Linked DNA regions of Schizosaccharomyces pombe. Changing the gene in region 2 together with the main gene of any one other region gives a genetic interaction. Each region holds a gene or a part of one and is shown on either strand. Other genes may lie near its edges. The genes, in order: hsf1, ecl2 and ctt1.

Region 1 (3,757 bases), on a different chromosome or scaffold from region 2:
TCGATCCTTCAATACTATTGGCATCATCTAACATATTGATAATATCACCAGTGTTCACGACTTTAGGATCAGTGGTATCATCTCGATTTAATGAGGGTACATCCGTATTAGGTGATTGATTGGGAGAAATGTATGAGTCAATCGAATTGTTAAAGGAATCGGCAGATTCCTTTTTAAGTCCTGGCTCATTCGTATAGCTTTGAGAAATATAATCCTTCGGTGAATGCGAATCCGAATTAAAAGAAGAAACATAATTTAAAGCTCGTCCATTTTGAACGGATCTGTATTTGCCCTCTCCATCAGGAGTCGTATTGTGTAAAGAGGAGATACTAGCACTACTAGAATTAGCAGTAGTACCTTGAGGTGAAGGCCTTGAATGCGCAGACGGTTCATTCGTAGGTGAAACCGTAGGATATTTAGCTTCTAATAAGAGCCGACGACTTTTGGGCATAACTTTGCTAGGTGGCTTCTGTTTACCATCCAAATATACACTGGCAAGAAAACGAAGGATCTTATCAATCGTCTCTTGATGGCGACGTTGTCTCTCGCGATTTTCCATATTTTCCTGCCAAAGAGCTGCGTTATCGACTTGGATCCTACTGAGTTCGTTCGACAAATTCATCTGCTGGATGCGAATATTCTGTAGCTCAGAGGATATCGTAGACATGTCTAAACTGGTATTTGATTCTTCAACGGGTTGGCTACCGGCCTTTTTTCGCGTTACTAGGCATAGTAATTCAGGTTGGTCACGTTGAAAGTTTGGATTTGCAAACTCGAGAAGCTCGTTGGGACTATCGGATTGTAAAACACCTTGCTGTATATGAGGGACTTTATGAAAGCCGTACACTGTAAAAAGTTAGTAAACCAAAAAAAAAAAAAAATGAATGTAATAAAATGAGATGCGAAGGACAAGAAAAGATAGAAAAGGGCTTGACAAAGACTAATTAGATAAATAATCAATAATTCCGAAGTATTGCAATATTTTTCATATCGTCGAAAAGTGGAACGGAAGAACAATCGAAAGAGATAGTCGTTGTTAAGCTTACTGATCCAAAAGTTTTCCAAAGCCCGATATATCTTCGAATAAATGCAGACAAGTAGGGGGACACATTCATAATAAAAAAAATTAATTGTGTAAAAGCTTGTCTTCGACTTTTTGTTACACCTTCACTTTTTAAAGACACTTACTGTTTAATTGCCGAACAAAACTAGAAAAATTATTGTGCTTGAAATACCGTGGAAGAACCAGCTTAGCAAAATCTTCATGCCCTATAACCAAAAACGAATCACCCCGGTCGCTCCATCGAATTAAGGAATCTGTCGACGAGTCGTTCACCATATTGTACAGTTTATTACTAAACTGTGTGATTTTCCTATTTTGTGAAGAACCTGAGCCCGACATCCCTACGGACATCGAATTTTGTGTCCCATTCATCTCCGGTGAATTTGCGCTGCTGGACTCCATTCCCTGATTCGTTCCGCCATTGCTTGAAATTGTCGATGCAGTCTGAATCATTAAAAATCAATTTATTATGGGTGCCGTTAATTTAACAAAAATATATATGTCCGTTACTGATTTAAAGGAATTCTCAGTACCTTCTTCTCAACCACCAGGGAAGAATATGCAGTTCGTATTTCACAAGGTTCAATCAAGATATTCTTAAATAATGTATACTTTCTCAGTAGCTTTAACAAGCTCTCACCGAAATTTGAAGCGGGTGTCGTTGGTTGATGTCAAGTTATATTTTGCAATAATCCACTACCGAATGATTACAATACACCATATATCATTCACCGGGGTATATCGCTAATTTGTTTAGTGAGGTCATTTAGCCACTCGGTATTTATTTTTGGTGTCGGTTTTGCATGCAACAAAAAATGCAAAAAATTATTAAATCGAATAAATTGTTATGTGTCAATTACAGATTAACTTACTAACGCTACTAATTAAGCGTTTCCGTCGCCGAGACTAATAACTAGATTTCACATGAAGATTTATTGATTGAAAAAATTCGTCTCTTGATAGATTTCGTAAACGATCGGCAGTCAAGTTATTATAGAGTTTTTACTTTTTTAATAAAAACTCACCATCATAACCCGACACATATAGAACTCTCACATTAAAAGTAATAGAAAATATATACAAAAGAAAAAAAAAAAAGGATTAAAGTAGAATTCGAGATAAGTCGAGTAAGGCATCACGTAAGGAGGTACCAATTTGCGAATTAGAAAACAAAACCCCTTCATATAACAACAAATGGTAAATAACGCCATTAAATAACACTAAACGTCACAACTCATACAATTTTATCGTTTTTGGACTGGCGTTCAACAATGTCTTCGCCCAATGCTGCTAATGTATGAATTGATGCTCGTGGAAATGATTGACTATTCGGAAATGCGTTTATGTCTGATGTCGTATGAGATGAATGTGTTGTATGCTCTTGATCCTCGACTGATAACTCGTCTATGCGTTGACTTTTTGCATCTTCAGACACCATTTTCAGTATCTTTGATATTGACGGTGTAATGCAATCACTAGCTCGACGGCGATTTGGAGAATCAATTTCGGTCAATTGGAAAGTAGGGCGTGGCCGAGGACCAGTGGAGGCTCTTCTTGGAGTAAGAGGCATTTTCATTGGATTCATACCTTGGGCCAACGAAAATATTAACGCTTCTTCTTTTTCATCCCAACCAGGCAAGTGCCCTTGGTGAGCAGACTCATCAACGGCGGATATGGAACGACCAACGGCAGACAGGTTCGCTAGAGCCGAAGCTGCATCCTCCTCCTTCCTAGTTGAAATACTGTTACGCTTGGAAGAAGAATGTTGTTCAAGCTTTGGTTCATAGTAATCCTCCTGCTTTATGGTATCCTGGCTAATATCCATAGGCTCGTCCTGTGTCGGCGTTTTCTCATGAACGGATTCTTTGATTTGCAGTAATGTGTTATTCCCTTCATTTTCAGCTGTATCATAAACGTCAACATCATGTTTGAAACCAGACACAGTCTCGCTCTTATCGGTCATATCAATAGACATAGGGTCAGGCTCTTGAGCTCCTTTTTCAATTTCATAAGCACTATTCCCTTCAACCAAAGACTTTATTTTTTCATCCATTTGTTCATCAGCATTGTGATTATTAACATTCTCATTCGCAGATTCAACATTTTCAACAGAGGGCGTATTATCCCAAGTATTCATATTATCAGCAGTGACGGAAGCTTCTTGAAATTGATTATTGATATTCTCTTCCGTTTTATTAATATCCGCAGCTTCAATATCAACCATAAGAGCAGAACCCTTGGACTTTTTCTTTCCACCTCTTTGAGAAGGAAGGAGCTTTTTTCGCCGACGACCCTTAGTTTTTGTTGCAGATGCTACCAAAGCTCGATAGTCAGTTGTCCTTTTTGTCAGATAATAATGTAATACACATTCTTTAGAGTTTTTTCCTGGCACTGCCTCTGCGATTTTACCAAATTTTTTTCCATGTAAAATAAATTGCTGAACGAAAATGGAATGCTGTTCTTCATTCCATATGTCAGGCATACTTTGAAAGTGATAGAATTTAGGACAATCTGTTACTAACCGGCTCTGATCATTAAAGTATTGACTTTTCACTTCTTCTTCTGAAAGTATCATAGGAGGAATAGTAGCAATTCGAGAGGCCTCAGATACATTGCTTGCTTCTTTTTCTTGCTGCTCGAGCTTTGCTAAAATCTCCAAAAACTCTTCTTCGGAACGAACTATATCACCAGCTG
Region 2 (3,757 bases):
CGTCCTTTAATAATCGATTTCATGAAATGAATGAATTCCAGTAGTAGGTTAAAATTTTTCCAAAAGATTCTGATGCGTTTAGCACTATTGTATTCTGCATATAGCAAAGCACATGGATGTATGTAGGATGGATACATGTGGGATGGGTACGTGAAAATGTGGGATAGATGTACCTATGTGGGATGTTTTGCATACCTACAGAGGAAGCACAGGTGGGATCGGATCCAGTAGCTACTACAGTTGGTGATTGTTACTGTTGGCAGAGTGTTGCATCCTAGCTCTTTGCTGAGGAGTTATTGCTTCGTGGCAAACTACAGAGTAACACGTGCTAGATCCCGCGAACGTTAGATTCAAAGATCCCAAACACTTACAACAAGGTTACATGAGTATAAGTAAATGGTACGTGAATTCTACGTTACCGGTCGAGGCAGAAAGTTGCTTCCGACCGTCTTCAGAATCAAGTCATTCCATGGAATTGTAAGACAATGTGTGAAACAACAACGAGATTTCACTTCTTTTTTAGCTAGTTCTCCCGCTATGGGTGTCGCACAAGGACAACAGGTAAAATTAATTTTGATGCTACTCATTGAGACATGGGAAACAAAACATCAATCATGCCACAGTCATTTCATTTTATTAGAATTCACTCATCTTTTTGTACGCAAGTTTTCGCAAATATTTTTCGAGTTCCGGTTGTTTGCTCACCTACTATCATAAATACAATGTATAATCAATAAACGATTCGCACTTTGTCGTTAGAAATCGAAAAAAAATAAATAAATAAATAAATAGATATATAAAAGTAAAACCATTCTCTAATAGTGAAATATATTTATATCTCTATCATGTGTAAATTTTGTTTTATTATTTTTTCTCTTTTTATTTTTACTTCTCTAGTTCTCTATTATTGAATTCCATTTATTTTATTCTATTTTATTATAATTTAAACTAATTTCTTTTTTTTCTCATTCATTCCCAACCGTCAGTTTAATTTTTCATCCCTGCCCTGCACATCTTTATACATGCTATATTTCGACCCCACCTATCGCCTTAAATCTCTCGTTGAAAAAAAGTCATCATCACCATGGTTCTCCATTTTGCTCCGCTACTGACTGCATCGGTGCCTCTTTTTACAGTCCAAAGATGTGCGATCAGCATCATGTTGTTGTGAGCTGGCGTACAACTGTCTTCTCACATGTATTTTTGGGGTTTAAAGGCGGAGAATATGATGCGAAAGGTCGCTTAAAGTGAGTAGAAGAGTATTCGAGAATTAAAATGAAAAAATAAAAAATGTAGTGTGTTTTTACTATTGTATATGACACCCCGGCTGAGCTAGCGTTTGTGTGTGCATTTAGTATGCGAGTTAGTACACACAGTGTTTTTCTCGGTTTCCCACTTCCGACTCAAATCCCCCACATCAGTCGTTCTGCTTTCTTCTCTTGTGTGTTGTAATCAAATTATGAAGAGGTAACATTGTACGCAACTCACGCAATGTATTAGCATATGCAGTCGGTCGGATGTGCATTATGAGATCAAACACAGTGTATGCTGTTTTCTTAACGTATTTTACCGATAGTATGGTATCTCAGGTCAGATCATCTGGACAGATTGCGTGCGCAGTTTTCAGATGTATATATAGAGCGCAGCAGTCCGACTGAGAGGTCGTAGAAGATTAACATATAGATCAGCAAAGGGTTTTTGACTTATACTCGCTGTTCTTGATTGCTTGAACTAAACGAACTGTCCTTCTTAAGTGTCTCTTGTTTTCCTCGACAAACAGTTTCGCTGTGTGATTGAGTAGAACTCACTTTTCCTCGTTTTCTCCATCCTAACCTCTTTTCGTCTTGTTGAATCACCCGCAGGACTCATCTCTTCCTTGAAATTGAGAAGGATTTGTTTTATTTTATTGTGAAGCTAAGTTCTTTTCTTTCTTCTTCCTCTACTAAATCGGAAATATCTTCCAAACGTCCCGTATATTTCGACTTTGAAATTTCTTTTTAGTCCGCTTTATACGCTCATCCGTTTTATCTGGTTTTCTTCAATAGGATCCAATACTAGCTCGCCTCAGCTTGGCTCATTCATTGGTTTTTCCTCGTTAACAAGTCATTTTAATTTTCTTTTTCTAATTTCTTCATCCTTTTGTATTCGTTAGAGACATGGATTTGGATTATTGCATAATTTGCGGAAAACCCACTACTGGCAACTTGTATTGCTCTCGTGAATGTCATCTGCAGGATTGCCCCGGCTGTGGTTCGACTTCGGAGCAGTGTTCTTACTCTAAGTCGGCTGATCTTCATATGTTATCTTCCCAATATTTAGATCATTTCCGAAGAAGGTCTTCCATGCCTTCCCCATCCACTTCGTCTTCTCTTTTGAACGGTTTTGTCGCTTCCAGACTTGCTGTTCTTTAATTTTACCTTACATTGCATTATTCCAACGACGGTGTCGTTGATATACACACATTCATTGCCAACGGCTCAAAAAAATTATATTTCATTTCTCTCTATCTCGGTTTTTTTTTTCATTTTCTCCTGTTTAATCTGGGAAAATTTATTTACTTATTTCTTTATCTTCCGGTTCCATTTTATTTTTTATTTCTCATGGGTACTTATATTTAATTGTGCCTTTTTTTAAACCTATTTTTATTTTATAATTCTTATAACTTGAAGTTTTTTTTTTCAAATTATTATGATACTTAAAAATTTTTATGCCTTTCTTAAATGATGATCACTACACTAACCGTGTGTGAATAGTTGATCATTGATTTTTGCGGTTCATACCGTGTATGTTTCTTAAATTGATAGCCAAGCATCCTTACATACTATCTTAAATTTCCAAATGATGTTGGTGCGTATATTTTGTTTATGCACTTCATTATTTCATGAGTTGTACAACTTAATTCGTTCACGCAATGTTGATGGTATGTTTCCATTACAATGTTTGTTTGGCTTCATTGGGGTTTTTTATGATTTTCTATGATAACGATATTGTATGAGTGGATTTGGTACTCGGACTTTTTCGTCAATTCGTAATGGCATTTTTTATTTCTTTCGAAATACGATGGATATTTTTTACGATTCTTTTATTCTTATGATATGGACTTTTGTTTCGGTGTGTCACGCAACTATTCTTACTTCTTTTCTGCAATCGCATTTTATTTGCACTGTCTAACTGTATTCGAGATTTGTCATTCGTGCTTTTTACATTATGCTCTGGCATCTGGGACAACTTTATGCTGAGTTCTTCTGAGCGCGTATTTTTAAAATACATAGAAGCTCTAGGCTTTCCCTCACTTCATCATTTCTTTTGCATATCAACATTTTGCATTGTCCCATTGGTTTTGAAGCTTTAGAGTTATTTATGTGTGTCGTGCTTTAAGTTCTCAGTTTTTGGCTCATCGTTTACGTGGGATTTTTGCATTAGACAATTTTTAGAGGTTGCGTATCAAACTATTTTATACCCAAGCACTTTGTTTTCTACGAATCGATACGGACATTTAACTGGCATCAGTACTTTAAAAAACGATAAAATATTTATTTTGATGAAATTTATATTGTTATGATAAAAAAAAAGCATAAAAATTGAAAACGCTTTTAAAAATATTCAATTTTATTAAAGTGCTTTGGTTGCTAGAAGAAAAAATAAAATTAAAAAATTAACGTATATCTACTGTGGTTGACATGTAAACGAATTATTTTGTGCGCAAAGGTAATACATAAATACTGGCTGAATAATAAAAGCGCTTTGTACAGCAGTA
Region 3 (3,757 bases), on a different chromosome or scaffold from region 2:
TTTATATGTTAACCTAATATGTCAAGATTGTTTGCTTTCTTATCAATGTTATGTGCTTATTGAGGTTAAAATATATATTTCCTAATTAACATTTATCAAATTAAATAAATTTCTAACGGCATTACACATGTCTCGCATTCAAAGAATAAAATAGTAGTCATCCGATAAACCTAGCTGACTCAAATTTTTTACAAACTAATTTCGCATAAGCGCATTATGAGCTTCCTTGGAACATATGGGGTTCGCCCTTGTTAATTGGCTTGGGGGCTTTTTCTTCCATCTTCTTCACTTCAGCTTCAGTAGCCTCACGAATACGGCGACCAAGCTCTGAATCAACACGAGTAAATACACCGTATTGGCGTTCACGTACAGGAGATATAGCACCAGACAAGTGACCGGCAACGTTCTTAACAAAGTTATCTTGCTGTCCAGGTTTCTTGCCCAAAACATTTTGCCAAAACGCTCTAGGTTGCTCAAAATCAACGTCGGTAATTTCGTCCATATGGTAAGTAACTTGACCTACCCACTTTTCGTGACCTTCGTCAGGCTCATATTGAACTTTAGCAAGTGGTCGGATTGAGGATGGATAGTTTGGCCAATTTCCTTGGTTTCCATTGACATTCATAGGGCCGTCACGAGAATAGTTAAAGACAGGACACTTAGGAGAATTGACGGGAATTTGCTCGAAATTAGCACCCAAACGATGGCGGTGGGTATCAGGATAGGAAAATGTACGTACTTGCAAAACAGGATCCGCTGAGACTTCAATACCAGGAACCATATGAGAAGGAGAGAACCCAGCCTGCTCGATATCTGCAAAGAAATTGGTAGGATTCTGATTCAAGGTAAAGCGTCCAACCCTTTGCATTGGTACGTCCTTATGAGGCCAGACCTTAGTAAGATCGAAAATGTTGTAGCGATATTTTTCAGCCTCCTGAGGGGTCATAACTTGAACGTAAAGCGTCCAACTGGGGTAATCACCACGTTCAATAGCTTCGAAAAGATCTTGACGAGCATGGTCGGGATTGGATCCATCCAATGCAGCGGCTTCTTCATTTGTTAAACCCTTGGTTCCTTGATTAGTAATGAAATGCCATTTGCAATAGTAGAATTCACCCTTATCATTAACAAATTTGTAGGTATGACTGGAAAAGCCATCCATGAAACGGTAGCTATAAGGGGTACCACCCAAGTCAGAGAAAAGAATCATAACTTGATGGATGGACTCTGCGTTTTGAGAAAGGTAATCCCAAAACATAGTAGCATCCTTCATATCATTTTGAGGGTTACGCTTCTGAGTATGGATGAAGAGAGGGAATTTAGCGGGATCACGAAGGAAGAAGACAGGGGTATTGTTTCCAACCATATCGAAAATACCTTCATCGGTGTAGAACTTTAATGCGAACCCACGAGGATCACGAGCAGTATCAGGAGTACCCCTTTCACCACCGACGGTGGAGAAACGAGCAACCATAGGGGTTTTCTTACCAACCTTAGAAAACATGGTATGTTTGGTATACTTGGTAATGTCGTCGGTGCATTCGAATTCACCAAAAGCACCGGAACCCTTTGCATGGACGACACGTTCAGGAATACGCTCGCGATCAAAGTGTTGAAAGACGTCGATTAAATGGGAATCTTGAAGTAAGACAGGACCTCCCTTACCCACACGAGCCGCAGCCATAGGGTTAAAAATGGGACAACCGGTGTTGGTGGTGTAAACAGGGACGGTATTTGAGTCTTTCGAGTTCATTTCGCTGATGTTTGAATCCTTAGACTGAGAAGATGCAAATCTGTTAAAGAGTAGCTTATTATTGTTAATCTTGGAATTAGTTGAACGACGAGCAAATGATTTTAAACTAGCTTGTCTACCAAGACAGTAACGTTCAAAGATGCGAAAAGCCGACACTTTGAAGAGTTAGGAGGGGAAAAAAAAAGACAGTCAAAAAATTGTGTTTTTTTAAAAAATTAGTGTCGAGTCTTTAACTAAATCACTCAAGACACAACCACAATTTCTATAATTCGATATTCGAACAAGGGAATTACAATCACACACACACAAAGAAGAACTTATAGTATTCTTCTATTCAAAAGCTATTACTTTTACGTGAAAAGCTGTATATTCAAGCAACTTGCAATTGCCTCTATATATATTGTCTGGTGTAGAATTACCAACGTCATATTTGCACAATAGGAAAACTCTTACCAACGCAAATGGCCGAGATTCCATTGGCTTAGTGAGCCAAAGAGCATCATTATTAGCGAAGCTACAATGACAAATTAACTTCTTCTACAGCCTATCGTAGTCGCCAAAATCCACCCTTCAGCCAATGTTTACGATGCGCTCATACCGTTACTTGGCCATATCAAATCTCCCAACACCATCGCTAACGTAAGCGGGCAAATCCCATCGTTAGCGATTAGTAAAACCAGCGTTTCTAGACACAGACGCTGACATGAAATTCTACTGCAAGTCGATATAGAGGAGAAAGATGCTTAATAAAATTAAAAGCTAGACTTTTCAGTCGCAAACTTGTGCTGGACATGCACCCTTTGGAACCAGTGTTTTTGGTAGATTAGCAGAGTATAGTGTGTTTCCTGGGGAAGTAAATAAAACAGATGTATGGTAAAATAGGATATGCAAGCATGTAGATTTTGGCCTGTATTCATGCGGTTTGTTTAGCTTGAAGAATTGATTTCACAAAAGTATGGTTTAATTTCAAATGATGTCGGGTTGATGTGCTAAGATCGGGAAATGGGTGAGTGAGAAAAGGAAGTTATGGTAATTTTATGATCGATTAGTTTGGAAACGTGTTTTATGGGCGCATTGTATATTTCTTAAATTATAAATTTTTTCTATTCTATATTAACTGAACTGAGAAAGTGGATTCATTGTGCACAGCTTCCCGTAGAGGTATAATGTGCACAAATCGGAAGTATGACTAGGAGAGTGAAATAGATAAGGAGGTTACTGAAATTAGAATACTTTCGTCCAATATACTTAGGAGTGCAAGTCTAAGGTCGAAGAAAGGCTGGAAGTGAAACAAGTCCCTTGCTTACAAAAAAAAAAAAATGGGAGATGCAAACAATCTAAGGACCGACAAACCGTAGGTATGGACGGCGTGTAAAGGCAATCCGTAGGAATGTGTGAAATAGAATATGATACGTTTAATAAAAGTCCTTCTTTTCCTCTACATCACAAATTTCAAGCAAAACGAAGTAATAATAATAAGGAATTTTTTCTTTCGTTGGTCTGACTAATTTTTTAGGTTCGATATAAACACTACGATTTCCATGCATGTTTTAATTCAGCGGATGAAGATATAACCCATACGTTGTTGTTTCCCATCGCTCACTCTACATTCGCTTAAATAAACTACTACCATTTGACTCGTCAAACAAAGATTGAAGGTGGTATTCACAAGCTTGTTTTATGTTGAATTCAATTTTTAGTTGGTAAAAGTACTTTAAGCATAAATGCCATTAACTGCTGTTCATGAAAGAGGGGACGTTATAGGTGGCAGAATTAAATTTCACTATATAGAGAACTATAGTGTTTTTTGGTCATCATCAGTAAGTGCAGAAACAGCATCAACTTAGTAAACAAAATAGTTACTTAGATTTCGCTTTATTCTTTATTTCCCTCTCCAAGACTTCACAAAGTCCTCGAAAATTCACGATGCTGATAGCTTCAGCTTTTCAGCACCATTTTTTCTTACTTGAGGGCGAGTTGATTAAATTCATCCTCTGCAAATCC

Evidence for each region.
Region 1: of ecl2 (region 2) and hsf1, changing one suppresses a phenotype caused by changing the other (phenotypic suppression), as found in Schizosaccharomyces pombe (one study listed by BioGRID).
Region 3: of ecl2 (region 2) and ctt1, changing one suppresses a phenotype caused by changing the other (phenotypic suppression), as found in Schizosaccharomyces pombe (one study listed by BioGRID).

The regions. Positions count from the first base shown.
Region 1 is NC_003424.3:5,057,234-5,060,990, reverse strand, and holds the start of hsf1 (DNA-binding transcription factor Hsf1), read right to left. Parts: upstream 1,737-3,757; 5' UTR 1,517-1,736; coding exon 1,189-1,516; exon of another isoform or gene 1,178-1,188; intron 1,033-1,177; exon of another isoform or gene 847-1,032; coding exon 1-846. Other genes in the region: Set3 complex SANT/Myb domain subunit Snt1, read right to left, coding at 2,298-3,757. UniProt on the Schizosaccharomyces pombe protein: DNA-binding protein that specifically binds heat shock promoter elements (HSE) and activates transcription. Also required for growth at normal temperatures.
Region 2 is NC_003423.3:960,915-964,671, reverse strand, and holds ecl2 (protein Ecl2), read left to right. Parts: upstream 1-2,156; coding exon 2,157-2,411; 3' UTR 2,412-3,665; downstream 3,666-3,757. Other genes in the region: SPOM_SPBP35G2.17 (uncharacterized protein), read left to right, coding at 397-717.
Region 3 is NC_003421.2:56,713-60,469, forward strand, and holds the start of ctt1 (catalase), read right to left. Parts: upstream 2,122-3,757; 5' UTR 1,754-2,121; coding exon 215-1,753; 3' UTR 1-214. Other genes in the region: cytochrome c oxidase assembly protein Cox14, read right to left, coding at 3,716-3,757. UniProt on the Schizosaccharomyces pombe protein: Catalyzes the degradation of hydrogen peroxide (H(2)O(2)) generated by peroxisomal oxidases to water and oxygen, thereby protecting cells from the toxic effects of hydrogen peroxide.